2 linked regions of the Tamandua tetradactyla genome follow. The protein of the gene in region 1 binds, or shares a complex with, the protein of each later gene. Links are inferred from orthologs where the notes say so. Each region holds a gene or a part of one and is shown on either strand. Other genes may lie near its edges.

Region 1 (7,689 bases):
CTTGTTTGATGCTGAAGGTGGGTCAGTCTGGCAGCTAACTCTCACCACAATCAGAGCTGTCCACACAGCAGCTTATTTCTGGCCAGTACCAGATCAAGTTAGTCATATTAGAAATACTAAATATAAAACAGAGATAGGTGTTCTCCCATGAGATGGAGTACAGCCAGATTGAGCCTGGTTTTCATTGACTGAACAAACATATGGAATTCATGAGCCTAGATGGGACACAGACAAGCTGAAAAACCTCCCTAGAAACCCTCATATGAAAACATTCCCTCAAAGATTTCTTCCTTCAGCATTGCAGAGGTGAGGCCTGGCTTACTTGGCATTGGTTAGCTCATATTGATTAAAAAATGACCAATTCAGGAAAAAAGGAGATCAGTTTGTAAAGTAAATCTGACAACAGTGGGTGACTCTGGACCTTGCTGATAACTAGTCGGGGTGAGGATAGGTAGGCTACAGATGTCCTTTTCAGAAACTGACCAATACGGATATGTTTGTGGAAATGATGGCACCAAACTCCCAGGAATCAAGAATGTCCTTCTATGCTAAAACCTCTACCATAAGTCTTAAGTGTGTGTGCCTGTCTCTGAGGATCCCAGTTGTCTGAACTAATTTCTGCAAGACAGATCCTCTGCCAATATGATGTGGGACAGGCAGAGCATTAGGATACTGCTGCATCCTTTCCCAGTGTGCCTTAGACCTCTATTCGTCCTACCTGGGCAAAGATCAGCGAGAGTTTATTTCAATTTCCCTCCCTAAGCCTGTACCATATGAGGCTGTGGAAACCGAATGATGAGTTCCTAAGTACTTGGTTCTACCTCCAGATCTCCCAAGGAGACTGATATCCAGTAGCAGGTCCGAGAGCCTGATTCTACCATCTGGACTCTTGACCTCTTTTCCTAAGCCGAGGTCCAACTTCATGTTTTTCTACTATTGCTCTAAAACATACATATGGGCAAGAAAGGGCACTGTACCTTTCCCTAAGTGCCGGTTTTAATGATTCCCAGCATTCAAGAGTAGATTATGTGTTACTACCTTATAATTTCTCCCATTTTAATTAATGGGGCAAATAAATTCATCGATATCCAATATTCACAATGGTTTAATTATGAGAGAGTTGGATCACACACGAAACAAAAACTAATGCTGAAAAGGAAAGAGAGTAAGACATATTCTGAGAATATTTCAAATTTTAAAAAACACGAGTGTTAATCAAAACGCAAAGTTTTGCAAGTGTAGGGGCTTGCAAGTTAAAATTTGCTTTAGATTTTAAGTGGCAAATGATCATCAGCTGGATTTGAATTTCACTTTATCTACTACATTCCAGTTAGGCCTAAGTCGTCTTTTTATTCTTGCATTGAACTCGATTTAGAATGAGAGATAGAAGAGTGCAGTGGGGAAAAACAAAATAATTCCTTATATAAGTAAGGGCTACATGTGATATTAGCTTTAGAAAACTCTTCATGTAATATCTACAATCAGTTCTTAACTGGACTTTTTGATGTGTCATTTACAAATAAATAACAAAAAATGTGTAATCACGTTCAATAACTCATTTTATTTCACAAGGATAGAAATCATGTTTTATAATTGTAAACCCCAAGGTTTTTCTCATTGAGCCTCCAGCTTAATCAAACTAGCCAGGTAACCTCATCAAATTACTTCTTCTAGGCCTTATCTTTCTCCTTTTAAAAGCAGCAGCTGGATTACAAAATGTTTAAATAGGTCTAATAATAACAGGATGGGGTTCCATAATCTGTTTATTCAGGGCCCCAGCTTCCTTTTAGTTTGTCTTAAATTACGTCTGGAGCAATTATTGGCGGCGGTGGGGCGCTGGGCAGGAGTGTGGACAGCCATATATACAAGCATCACCCCAAAACCTTCCTATTTCAAGAGATGTTTTTGGCTGAAATCCAAAGGTGACTCCATCATCTTCATTAATTTAGGGGGTCCATTATTTTATTAGCGCATATGTATTCATCATTTGTCCTGCTTTGGCCAATATCTGAACTACTGAAGATAACCGATAACCAGAGTTACAAAGAAAACATCATTATTTCTAAAACAAAACCTCCAGAAGGTAGGTGTTTTACAAAGCTATACAATACAGAAGCCTGTTGGTGCCAACAGAACAAAATGCCAAGATGTTTAAATTGGGATCACCATTCCCCATCAGGTCTGTGCTGCTTCTTTCTACTGACAATTCTTACATGAAAAGCACCAATGTCGAAATCACTAAATTACTTAGAGATTACTTAGGGGTCCTCGGAAATAGTACAACTTATCCTTGCATAAGCTTTTTTTCTTTCCCTACTATCATCATGTAATATCAAAGTCATCACCACTTCGGATTTCTAGACATTTTACACGCACAGCGTCTCGTTTCAGAAGCTTCCACGGTGCTGTGAAAACCCAACCACGTGCACAGCGCAGGGCAAATACCACAGACCACACCTGCACTTTAAGTAGGAAAAGGTGCTTCTTTTGCTCTCCTTAATTCACGTCCAGAATTTTAATCTCCTCCTCCTGTCGGTGGCCGTAAGGGTGGTGTATGGCGGTGGAGCAGGTGGGAAGGGGGTGGAAAAGGCTGGCAGCTGTGGTGACAAACACCATCCTGGGGCTGGACCCGACAGCGAGAAAAACGCACTTACTTGCTACCATGTGACAGGTCTCCACCGGCACCTGCAGGACCCGATCCCGAGGGACAGGGCCCTTTGGAGCCCTTTCCCCCTCCCGAGCTTCCCCTTCTTCACGGATTTCTCTGGTCTTCTGAGCTCCGGTTGCTTAGGAAATGTTGCTAGGCTGGCGTCTGACCTCCCCGGCTGATGCCACCTAGGCCGCGATGGCTCCGCGGTCAACAACCCCACTGAATCCTCAGCTAGACGCGGAGGAGCTGCGGCGGCTACCCAGCCACTGACCCAGAGACCCCTCCTTCCAAGATGTCCAGTGGAGCCCCGCCCGCAGCTTGGAAGCTGTTTTCGTCTTCCTGCCACACTTCCCTCTCGTCTGGCAGCCGAGTCACTCTTCCCCGCCTTCATCTTGAGGCCGGCGCGCGGCTCCGGCACCAGACCCGGCGGGGGCGGGGGCGGTTCTGACACAGCCCAGCCGCAGCCGCTGCAGCACCCAGGGCTGCTGCACCCAGGGCTGCTGCAGCCGCCGCAGAGCCTCTCCCTCCGGCCGCCCGGGAGGGGCGGGGGCTGCTAGAGGAGGGGGATCAGCGAGGGGGGCAGAGAGGGGAGAGGACCTAGAAGGGATGAAGGAAGGCAGGGGAGAGAAGAAAAGCAGGTAGGGAGGAAGAGCGAGTTTACCGGGAAGGGAGAGGGAAAAGAAGAGGGAGCTTTAAAGAGGAAGGAGGCAAACTCCGGTTCTTTACCTCTTTTCCTTTCTTCAGCGGTTTTCTCTCTCCCTGGCCTGGCTGTCCTAGGAGAGCCTCCCAGGTGCGGTTGTTAGTCAGCTGCATCTAAATCCGCACGCCGTTGTAGGCAGAACTGTGCAGTTTTGTCTGCTGTTGTGTGTGTCTGTAGGTTTGTAGGTGTCAAGGTAAGATGTGGCAGGAATGACTATACTCTGCAGACTGCAGATTCTTTCCCAGCTCTGGTGATTTGAAACACTGGGGAAAAAATATGCATATTTTCAAAAACTATTGCTGCACTGTATTTGGGGATGGGAACTGCTGCTGGACCTTGTTTCTCAAAGGGAGTATCGAAAATTTTGCTGCCCCAAAGAACATTCATTTTATAACCCTACCTTGTTCTGAAATGATGACATTTTCTTTGAAAATTCATACCTCCTACCAAGAAAAGATAAGGAAAACGAGGATAAGAGAAAAGAAATCATGTATTTTGTATGACGTACACCTTAGATTTTCCAAAGTATGGAACAGAAAATGTAGGCAGATTCAAGAGAAAAAACATGTCAGGAAAAATGCATTTCATCCGTGATTCACAGTAATGGCTATTACCATGTTTTCTTGTTTAAAATATGTTTGCTAAGAAACATTTCAACTATATACAAAAATACAAAGTATCACAAACTTTTATGTACCCACCCTCAACTCCTAACAACACTTGGCCAATCTTGTCTCATCTATATCTAGACCGCTTACCTTGGATTAATTTAAACATAGTCCAGACATCACACCATTTCATCTAAAAATACATCATCAGCCTGTGCCCTGAAAGATAAAGACTTTTAAAAAATATAAAGCCAATTTCACCATCATACCTAAAAATTAATACTAATTATTTTATAGCATCATATATCCATTTTACTTATTTTTAATAGACAATTTATGGATTATTGACTTCTCATTTTCACATTTTTTGTGACAAACCAAGTAAATTTTCTAGTTTATAGACCTTTCCTTGGAGCAGTCCTGCTTTTGTTTCCCTTCTCACCCAGTAAATTGTAGGCATCCATACTCAAACATTATATAAACATGAGAAACTTAGTAATATCAAATATTTTAAAGCTTTAATAAGATATGTGAAATAAATGAAAAGAAGTACTGTTTTGCATAATGTGTGATGAGCATGCAACTGATCCTAAACAATGTACAAATTAGTAATACCAGCAATGGGAAACTGAAAGGAAACCAATGATACAAGATTTGTTCCGAGTAGACAACCATATTATGTTGCCTGAGTAGACAACCATATTTCTGCAACAAATTTTTGCCTCCAGTGTTAGATAAAGTCACTGTGCAGGATCTGTCAAATTTTGGTAATTATTATGCTCTTATACCAGGCTGAGTTGCTCCCCACTGAGTTGCTCAGTAGGGGAAATCGATGTGGTGGAAAGACCACGGCCCTGTCTGTTTTCCACATGCCTGTCTCAAGAACCTTGTAATCACGGGTTCTAAGTTGTATTTCCTAACTGTGTATCCAGAAGTGACTCAAATCAAGCACAAGGCCAACATGCCCCTCTTCAACTTTACTGAAAGAAATCTGCTCTATCACACTTCACTTGAGCCATAGACCATAGGGAACATCACTTTCCCTGCAGCCTTCTTAAATGGAGGCTGATTATTCTAACCTCATCGTGTCCAGAGTAGGAATGGGCATGGCCTGCTCATTCCTCCTCCACAACACAACTTCCACATTTCACAAAAACTGGTGTATGAAAAAAAATTTTTTGAAATTAAAAAACTCTGCTCAAAATGCAAAGGAATCTAACTCTTCTTTAAAGCAGATGTCCTCCAGCTATTTCCTACTGTATCAAGTCTTTCTTCTTGTGGTACCTCTGGTAGCAATCATCTTCTTAATAAATAGACAGTCTTACTTATTCATTAAGGATTTATTTCCTACTTGACAGTCTTCCTCTCCATTCATGTACCTAAAATCATGCAACACCTTCATGCATATGGATGCCTACAGCCTTCTTTCTATTACATGCTTTTTGTCTCGACCACACCTCAGCTATCAATTCCCACACTCAAGCAGTGAATCTTATAATTGCTAGTAACTGCTTGATTCTCTCCGTAGTACTTACCTGGATTACTAAAGGTTTATTGCTGTTCATTTATTGTCCGTCTTGTCCCCCTAGAGTGCCTGTTGCATGACAGCCAACTCTTTGTCTATTCATTGCTATACCTCAGTGTTTAAGACAGAATTTGTCATACATAAGTTACTCAAATTTTATTATTCAAGGAGTAATCATCCAGATGCCCCCAATCCACTATGGGTCACCAAGAAGAATGTAGCAGTTTGACACAGAAAAAACCATAAATTGAGCACATGCTATATGAAGAACAGGATGGTTGTTTGTTGATCATGCTTTTATTCTACTTAGCCTCTGGTACCTAAGTTCTTAAAATTCTTCTGGTGACAGTGCTGCAAAGCCAGAATCAGTTCTTATGATTGTTTTCATGTGTACTGCATTCTACAATAATTCTTACTATTTGTGTGTTTGGGTTCCTTGGAATTTCTCCAAGAAAACCTTGTTCACAGTTTTCAACCCTGTCCTAAGTTCTAAAATTATAAGAATTTGGACCTCAGCAAATAAAGTTGTAAGGAGTAGTTTAATGATCACAGAGGAACAAAATAAATGGCTTGCTTCTTAAGGATTCTTGGAAATGAAACAACAGACCATAGACAGTATGAGTCAATTGAGCTCATCTAGAAAATAGTGGTTTTAAAAAAAAACCTTTTAGAGCATTAATTATCTACTGATAAATTTCTATGCTGAATACAATTTCTCAGATCCTCTGGCAATATATATATATATATATATATTGCTCTTTATGACTCTTCCCAAAAATCTTCAAAAGACAGGTATAGTCAGCAAAGAATAATAGAAAAAAATCAATTTAAAGATTTTAACTCAGTATAGAAAATATGTCAAAAAAATATTTGTTTTCCAAATATGCCATTTGGAAAACACACACACACATATCGTTTACAACATTATACATATATTTCCTTTAGCTTATCGCCCTGGTGCCAAGAATATAATTATAAAAATCACATACATACACAGATTGTGTTCAAATGTTCCTGACCATACACATTCCCCTTTGCAATTTTATATGTGACATCTGATCTATCAAGTAATTCCCTGCCAGGCTTGATGGAAGTGCAGACTTTTTTTTCGTGTGAAAAAAATAGAAGAGAAAATACAGACAATTACAAAATTGCAATTCTTTTTCATTTCTCTGGAAGTCCTGTTGAAATGTGTGTCTATATAGGATATATCTGAATGCATGCATATCGTCTATGGAAGTTAGCGTTAACCACTCTAACACAAATCTAAAATAATAGTGGCTTAACTCAACAGAAGCTTATTTTGCTCAAACATAATTGTCTACATCTAAGCAGTTTAGGGCTACAAAACCACATCAACTAACCAGGCTTTTCTATCTTGTTGATTTGTGATCTCTCGTGTGTTACCCTCATTTGTATGATTCAAAATGCCCACTGACACATTTGTATTACAAGCAATAGAAAAAGAGCACAGGGGAAATGGAGTTCTTGCTCATTTCATTAAAGGTTACACTTCCCTGAATCCAGATTGAATTGTCCATAACTCCCATAGTCACACTGGTTGCAAGGAAGCCTGAAGAATGTGATACTTCTTTTGGGTGGCTAGGTAGTGAGCTAAAATTTGAAGTTTTTATTGTTGTAGATAAAAGGGAGAAGAAATATTCGGGGGTGAGTAGCACTTTTTGTTGGTAACATCTGAATCTGCAATTGGTATTCTTTTGTGACTGTATACCTCTGCCAAATAGAAATTAGGAAAAATGTGATTTCTCAAGATTTTAGGGCTCACAGAAACATAACCAAACTTAGCAGTAAACATTTCTCTCCACCAACTGGAATGAATAGGAAAGAAAGTCAAGTTGCAGAATAAACAACTAGACAGCTAAACTAATATATTTCGAATTGTTTCCTCAAATTCAATAGGTCTCACCATCATATTATCTCATTCATTTCTACCACTTTGTTTTGGTTTATGATAATAAGATACTCAAAACTTTTCTCACTCTTTTTTCTTTCCCCAATTTTTCCAAACAAAGAGTACAAGAAACAAAAATTTCCAACTCTGTATTCAATGAAACTATGTAACATCTTTAGTACCAAAATGTTCGATATGAAGGGAAATTTAGATGGAAAGATAGTAAGTGATCTAGTGAAGTGAAGCACGGAAAGTCTAGTATAATTACCTGATAAAATTGAAACTGGTCAAAAT
Region 2 (8,174 bases), on another chromosome or scaffold:
TGCACACTTCTTCCACAGGTCTTTTTTTTGGGGGGGTGGGGGGTAGTACAAGGCCCCCGAGGAGGGGACAGGGGAAGGAGAGATTGGGCACTCTGCCAATTCTAACAATATTCTGTAAATATTTCTGCACCATTCAGTGGTGGAGCTAAAAGGGATATTAGAGATCATGTACCCTAGCGTCTTCAATTTACCTACGAAGAATATGGAACTAAGGTTGTTACATAGTAAGATAGTGGCAGAGGTAGGACTTCAACCCAGCCTTCTCAAGTCCCAGAAGAAAGGTTCTTGGACTATACCATGCTTCTCCCCTCCCAAGAATTCAGGCAGAGCCCTAAACACTTAAATGAGGAAATATTGGGGCTTGGAGAGGGCATTCAAGTCTCTGAAAAAATCTCACCCAACCCATCTGCACAACTTCCTCTCCAGTTGCTTTCCCTGTACACTCACCTTTCCAGCCAGACTAAGGTCTCCTAAACCTTATGTCCCTAGTCTTGGCTTCCCCTGGGAAAATCTCAACCTTAAATCCTCAAGGTAGGTGAGATCATTGGCAACCTATTATGTTTGCTCCATCTCCAGGTTTTATCTACTCTACTGGGATGGAGGACGATGAGTCTGCCCTTGGAATTGGAATTATTTTTCTTCCTTGTCCTTCCTAGCCTGTCTCATCAGGCATTTTGTTCAACAGGAAGCTTGGCTGTACCTCCAGTCACATGCAAAATCCAGATAATGCTGGCAGCCAGAGTCAGACCTGGAGGTTTGACAAAGTAATACTAAGGCGAAGAGGTGTTTCCCATCAACATGTCTGCCACTACACAGGCAGAATGGATTTCATGCCAGTCATGGGAGCATAACCCCACATGCCCGGTTTCAACAACACTGGTTATTGATTTTAGCATGGAGTAAGTCGCTAACATCACATAAAGCAATATATCAACTGGAAAGCATTTATATTTGATCTGATAATCAAACCAGAGAAACCAAAGCAGAGATGTCCAGACCTGCACCCCCCCCCACGCACAGTCACATTATCCTACCCTCCCCATAGCATTCCACACTAACATGCCAGACATGTTTGCATATATCAGACACTGAGAGACACACTGGCACAGTAAATCATTTGCTCTGTCACATGTTCAGACACCACCATCACATAGACTGATTAACTCCCTCTTACACACATTCAGGCACCCCACTCCAAGCCCATCTCTGACGCCACCCTCGTTTACTGTTGCAAGTGCAGGACACCCTTATTTGGAGGGAGAAGGTCACCTCGGACAAGCAAAAGTCTATTCATCTTCGAAGACAAATAACCCAGTTCCACAAACATCAAATCACCTTAGCTCCATATGTCCATGAAAAAAAAGGTCAAGATAGAATTCATAGTTCCCTGTTTATCAAATACATAATAGTAATAAGCAAATAGCTGAAACCTACTTTCCTCCCATTCACTATTAAAATTAAGCAGATAGATCAACACCTAAAGTATTTTCACTCTCAGAATGCATGCATCTAGCAAATATATATATATATGGAAACTATTTTGAAGACTCAGCAAGGTTTTCAGGAGTATTGACACATTAAGAGTGAGCTGTGTGACTGCAGCAGAGATTTTTGACAATGAATGTGACTGCATTCCTTTTCAGCAAAGGGAAAGGGAAAAAATCCTCTGGAATAGTCAGGAAACTGAAGGAGAGGAGGAAGAACCACTAAAGGAGGTTGTGAAATAAAACGGTGAGTGTGTGTGTGTGGGGGAGGGGGTATCTTTCCAATTTCAAAATCCCAGCTCTCAAGGAATCTCTATGGTCTCCATGTCTGGCAGAGATGCACAGAGAGAAAGCCAACCACAGCTCCTTTTTATCATCAATGACATCAATAAGCCTTATTATTTTGAACATTATTACTGTTATCTGCATCTGGCACGGCAGGGTGCTGGTACTTACCCCAGTAGATAAGCACCAGGGAAGCCAGAAGAAACAATCTGTTGAAGGCAGGCATCTTTTTTGGCTGGTGGCTTCCGGGGCTAAACAGAGAGATTCCCTCGGTCAAGACTGCGCCCTTTCAGATACTTTCGAGGAAACCCTTTGGGAAGAACTGCCCCAAGGGGGCGACTCTCTGATTGAAAGAAGGGTCAAACACCCGTGACTGGGGAGTCTCTGAAGGCTTTTTGAGTCAGGCGGGGGGTAGTTTCAGCTAGAAGCAACCTTAGCAGACCGCCCCAATTCGAGGGATCGGATCAGCAGCTCCTCGCGCTCCCCCACCTTCTATGCCTCTCTTTCCCGCAAGCCAGTTGCTGGGATCCGGCTCAGCACCACGGACAGTATCTACCCCGCCAGCCCCCGACCGTCACATTCCAGTTAACTCCTTTGCTTCTCTTCTGTCTGCGCCTCGCGGGAAGCTCAGCTCTGAAATGAGTAGCCTCTTAGGCTCTGGGGGCTGGGCGGTCGAAGGGGTCCATGTTTATCCACCTCGTCTACCCTAGGCACCACCACGCTGCGCCCGGGATCCACCAAGACCCCGGGAGCTCCGGTTCTCTCCGCTCCGACCGGCTTCTCCAGTTGGGCGTGTCCCCCACACCCGAAGCCACCCGGGCCGCGCGTCCGAGCTGGAGAATTCCTTCCACGTCGGTCACGTCCACGCCAGTCCTCTGCTTCCCGGGGAGATCCTGAAGGGTGGAGAAAGAGGCGGAAGCTCCCGTCCGGCCTACGATCTTAGGGGTGGTGATGGGTGGGAAAGGCAAGCCCTTTCCCCCGAGCGCGCCCTCGGATCATGCGGGGCCCAACTCTCGGTGGCGGGTATCCAGCTGCCCCTCCAGCCCCCAGGTCCTGTGCACTCGGTCAGCCTTGACCTGCGCAGGGGGCTGTGAGCCCGCACGGCCACCCTGGGCCCACCCCCTCGTGCACACTCTCCCCACCCGCCAGCGGGCGTGCCCCTCCCAGGGCCGAGCGCAGCGCCGAGCCGGGGCGGAGCCCAGGGCGGCGCAAACGCCTGGCGTCCTAGCCGTTTCCCCGCTAGCTCCCTCGCTCTCTCCAGGTCTTTCTCTCACGTCTCCACGCTTCTCCCCAGCGCTCGCGCACCTCCTTGCACAAATTCACACCCTCCAACAACCCCACACGGCTGCTGCACACTCTTCTGATCCTCGGCTCCGGGAAGGGGAGGGCCAAATCGCTTTCAGGCAATGATGTCATCTGCGATGTACATAGTGCAGGGCCCCACGCTTCTCTCCCCCACCAGGTCTCCCTCCTGTCCTCCTGGTCTGTCTTTTGTCTAGCCTTGAATAATTGGTTCCGGGCACACCGTACGCAGCAAGATGATCCCTATTTAGGGGAAATGAGGATAGGAGTGGGGCGCACCTGTTCCTATGCTCACTTCATCACTCAGTGAGGGGATCCAAATGCCTGTCTAAGAACGGCGTGGGGGTGGGGGCAAAAAAGGGATCCTCGTCCCTTCCTCTGATTCTTTGCAGTCTCCCCTCTTGCTCTAATTTTTTTTTTTTTAATTTAAATGCAGGTGGATTGTGGTTTGGCTTCTTCCAACTATCAGCCACTCCTCAATCCAAGCAGCTGTTTCGATGACACCCCCGCCCCCGCTCCGCCTCGCTCCATCTCTGGCAGGGAAGCTTGAACCTTTAAATTCACTTATAAACTGAAATTGACGAAACAGTTGAGGAATGCCTGGAACTGAAGTGATTAATACAAAAGTCTCTCCTCCCCTCTTCTTGTTCCCGGCTCCCTTTCCAAAAGCGGTAGCTTAACGTCGATATTCCAAAGGGAACCGCAGAGTAACAGCTGGCTGTAAGTGAACCAGGGGCAGGAAATTCTCCCTTCTAATGTAACACAGGGCAACAGACTGTCCCCAAGCTTGGATCTTCTTCCCCTGGCAATTAGCTACCAGGACATAACTTCTGTGTGCTTCTGAAGACCAACCCTTTGAAGCATGCTGTATTAGCCTTGGGTGGGAAATTAAAATTGACAAACACCTTTCCAGTTACTGGATCCACCAACAAAATTCCTGAGGAGTGGGTTTGACTCTAGTCCAGTGATGAGAGATTATCACTTCCCAAGTTCCAAATTTAAGGAAGCTATTTTTATTCAACTGAATTCTGTACACCCTTCCTCCCAAAACTCCATTAAGTGGTCCTCACACTGTTTTGTGACGTAAAATACAACTCTTAGCTCCTAAAAAGTCTGTGCTTCTTCACTCCCCATGCCAAGATTTTTGTTTAGACATAAGCTTCATAAGTTTCTTCCAGTATTTCTTAGTGGTTACTAACCCTTAGCCATCTTAGTCTCTTTCTTAGGAGGATTTTTAATTTGTCAGCATGGCTTCTCAAAGTGACATCCGGAATAGGAACTGATGTTCTCTCTGTCATGCTGGCAGCATAAATCCAGTGAAATAATGGCCACACTTACTTTAGAGGGTATGTTTATTTACACGCAGTTACAGCCTCATCCCACTCATAATGAGCTTATGGTCAATTAAAATCTAAGCACTTTTCATTTGAGCTGTTGCAGATTCATTTTGTACTCAATATAGCAAGTTTCAGAAATCTGTAAAATTTTGTGCTTATTGCTGCTAAAATTTACTCATTTCAAACAATTATCACATCCTGTTAATAATACTTTTATTGAATCCCAGATTCAACACCCAACATCACTCTCTTCTTTAGGCTTGCTTCAACTCTAGGCTTGACAAACACTTGACCCAAACATAGATTTTTTTTAAATGAACAGGAAAAAACAAAAGAGAGAGTTCTTTGGCGTGCTTCTACATACCTCACTCTAGCTCCTGGACAATGAGCTACTAATTAGACTTCTTTAGTGTGATTGCACAATCATAAATAAATACCCAAACACTCTCCCTATTTTCCACATGTATAGCATGGCATATTCTGAAAAACAAAAGCCATTATGTGAGAAGAATTAGACCTACAATGATCCCAAGAAAAGAAGTAGGAACAGTGGCTGACATTTATATGGAAACAGATTTACAGTAATACATTTCAAACCATTCCAAGGTAGAATGAATTATCTTTCATTAAGTTCAAGCAGCTGTTATCCAACCAATTAATGGGATTTGTAGGAAAGAAAATTTCTATGGCTTAGAATTTGCAGAAAATTATTGCTAAAATTCCAGTCATCTTTGAGATTTTATGATTTTGTCAAAAGTCTTGCCGAACTTGAGATACATAGAGTGGTCGAGATATTTTTAGGCCAATGATTCTAACAACCCCCACCATCATCACAAATACCATAGAAGGAACTTGGCTTAGTTCTGCATAGTTTTTCTTATGTCTATCTATACTGATTGCTAACAACCATATTTCCCTTTTCTAAATGTTTACCAGTCCCATTTTAAATACTCAATTTGAGGATTTTACATGAGGTTTTAGGAAAAATGTACTTGCCTCTAGTGTCCCTAAGTTCCTCCCCACTCTTGTCCACTACTGAAAATGGGAACATTTGCTCTCAGTCTGCTGATGCTTCCCTTGAGTTTTTGCAGTGGTTCCCAGTCATTTTTGCAACTTCCTTAAGTTCCCTGAAGTACATTTAGCTTTCTTCTGAGAGTCTTTCTGAGACGTTTAAATTGTTATCCCTTCCTCTTTTCTTCCATCAATTTCTTTTGCTAATGTCTACTTGACCCTTTCCAATTTAATGATCACCTCCCCTTACTGCTGATGGATGAAATTATCTATTCCATTCTCCAAATAGTTGCTGTTAGGAAGAAAGCCATACCTGAAAGAGAATACGCTCACCTAATTGTGGAGAAGAAAAGAATTTATTCATGATCTTGCAAGAACATGTGCCCAGCTGAAAAATGGTGGTTGGCATGCCAAACGATAGAACACTACAGATCATACACTTAAACCTCGCACGCAGGCCCCTCCCCTGTTTCTCTGCTGATTGGATATGCCGCAAGTTACAGCCTATCCGGATAGTCTAATTAAAATTTCCCACTGTAGGTTCCCACTTTTGATTATGCTTTACATTTCAATGGCCCTGGCCATTACTTACTTAAACTTGTTTCTACCTATTTGGCACCAATTCTAGGCTTACGTCAGAGGCTCTCTCTTTCCCTGCTTGCAAGACCCATTTAAGCTATCCTGCAGCCCTTTCCTGCACCATCTTGTGTGAAAGCTAAATTTAATTTTATTCTTACAGCAGGCAGAGCAATCTGTTGGTCTATTCTATAAGACCATGTATCACTCTTGCTTAAAGCTCTTCAATGGCATCCCACTACACTTAAAATAAAATCCATACTTCTCATGATGGCCAACCAAGGTCTCCTGTGATCCCTGACTATCACTACATGCTCATGTCCACTACTCCTTGCCTTGTCCACAATGTTCCAGTTGTACATTTTTTTTTAATGCCTCTCAAAATTATTAAGCTTTTCCCCATTATAGAGACTTGGCACTAGATGGCCCTTCTGGTTGGAATGCTCTTCATCCCATGTCTGGCTTCTAATCATTCAGGTCTTGCTACTTCTCCTTAGAGGGGCATTCCCTGGCACCATTTTTAAACTGATTTCCTGCCACCTCTACCTGAAGTTACTTTCTATCTCACCACCCTGTTTCTTTTTCATCATATCTTTTATCACTATTCAAAATTAACTAATTTTTCATTTATGTACTTGCTTATTTTCTGTCCCAGAATGCAGAGACTATGAAAGCAGGAACCTTGCTTGACCTGTTCAGCACTGTATCTATCCCTGTGTCTAGATTAGTGCCAGGTATTAGGCCCTCTATGAATCCAGAATGAACAAATAAGTAAATGAATGAAGGAGTGAGAATACAGTGGGAAGAGCAAATAGCTGATGCTGGAATCACTAGCAGGAACAGAAAAAGAAAAGTCAAAAAATAAAACAAGATCCAGAATATTGCAATGCTACAATAAGCAAGGGAAGAGAAAGTCTCAAGACTTGTGGGACGTGCCTCCTTAGAGGGGATTCCAGCTAACCGTGCTCAGAATTGAGGATGAGGGAATATGGGACCTGAGACTTTGAGGTGGAGGGGAAGGAATGACTCTAGTGAGGAAGGAAGAAGAAATGGCATCTGAGAAATGAAGGGAGAGATTAAGTTTTCTTGAGGGAAAGAGACTCATTTCACTAAGACCATGGGGAAATAAGACTGTGTCACTGGCAGTGATATTGTGAATAACGATAGAGTATCGGAACTTTGAGACATACCTATCGGTTTTAATAAAGCAGGTGGCCTAAAATTATCCACAGAGTAGTGCTTGGTGAGAAACAGGGAAATTAGTGACAAAGCACAAGGCCTGGAATCATCATGGGCTATTCTGATGCCTAGAAGAACGCCAAGAAAATGTGAAGTAAAGCATTTCAAGATCATCGTATACCTCAAGTCAAGGTACAGAAATCAGAGCCAAACCCAGCCAACTCAAGTAACCTGCTTTTGCTCCTCTAAGTGGGTTTTGAAAAACAGTGCACAAGCCATGGGATGAGGAGAGAGGGGAAACATGTTTATTTAAAATTGTGGCCAAAGAGCATAAAGATCGAAAGGTATCAGGCTTCCCCCAATTATTTCCTTATACTGCCTATCAGCTGGGTGGCTGCTGTCACCGGCCAAGGGAAGTTTGGGATTAGAACAGGAAGCACTAACACAATGATCAGACTGTAGAGTCCCTTCCTGGACCTGCTCATTGCAGAGAAACTGGCAGGTAAAACGGGGCCAGAAATGTTTGTTGCATTGAACTGAGTTCCATCTGAATGATTAGGGAAGCTAAGGCTTCCCTGACACTGAGTGCCCCACCTCCACCCAAACCGCACCCAGTCTACAAAGAAGCTCATGTCACACTGCCTCTGACCAACCCCCAGGGAGCCCATAGATTTTCCCTCAAAGAGGAGGCTGTCAATAGGTAACTATGAGAATCCCAACATTTGAATGGGAGTAAAGAAAATATAACTGATATGGTGCTTCAAGCTCCTGAGAAGAAAAGTTGTATTTCCAGAATTTCTATTAGCATGTATGGTATAACAAAAATGTTGGCTGGTCTTTATCCCCAGTTCCTGGGGAGGGAACCTCTGAACCTTTGGAATTTCCCCTAATGAGTTCTTTCTGTTCTTCAGGGTGGGCTCACAACCACACCTGATAATTCATATGCTAATGAGAGTACAAGTAGCAGCCCTGTCTGCAGTTTTAGGGTGGGGAGGGGATG

The links.
Region 2: the proteins of SCN7A (region 1) and SCN3B are in contact, whole or in part, in a cryo-EM structure (PDB 7TJ9), measured with the Homo sapiens proteins. The link is inferred for Tamandua tetradactyla from reciprocal best matches to the Homo sapiens genes SCN7A and SCN3B. Residues at the interface, in NP_002967.2 of Homo sapiens: Arg269, Glu293, Tyr296, Leu298, Glu299, Leu305, Gln315, Cys316, Pro317, Glu318, Gly319, Tyr320, Asn922, Ile923, Thr926, Cys927, Lys929, Ile930, Phe939, Ile956, Tyr957, Asp959, Gln960, Ile966, Tyr970, Met973, Ile974, Tyr977, Ile978, Leu981; in NP_001035241.1 of Homo sapiens: Val25, Cys26, Val27, Glu28, Val29, Arg44, Ile46, Lys50, Arg51, Glu52, Glu53, Val54, Asn95, Gly96, Ser97, Asp99, Gln101, Asp102, Phe126, Phe128, Ala130, His131, Pro133, Val135, Thr154, Ser155, Ser158, Glu159, Met162, Leu165.

The regions. Positions count from the first base shown.
Region 1 is NC_135329.1:137,857,846-137,865,534, forward strand, and holds the start of SCN7A (sodium channel protein type 7 subunit alpha), read right to left. Parts: upstream 3,074-7,689; 5' UTR 2,665-3,073; coding exon 2,655-2,664; intron 1-2,654. UniProt on the Homo sapiens protein: Sodium leak channel functioning as an osmosensor regulating sodium ion levels in various tissues and organs. While most sodium channels are voltage-gated, SCN7A is not and lets sodium flow through membrane along its concentration gradient.
Region 2 is NC_135334.1:17,129,712-17,137,885, reverse strand, and holds the start of SCN3B (sodium channel regulatory subunit beta-3), read right to left. Parts: upstream 3,137-8,174; 5' UTR 3,075-3,136; intron 2,879-3,074; exon of another isoform or gene 2,663-2,878; 5' UTR 1,996-2,662; coding exon 1,941-1,995; intron 1-1,940. UniProt on the Homo sapiens protein: Regulatory subunit of multiple voltage-gated sodium (Nav) channels directly mediating the depolarization of excitable membranes.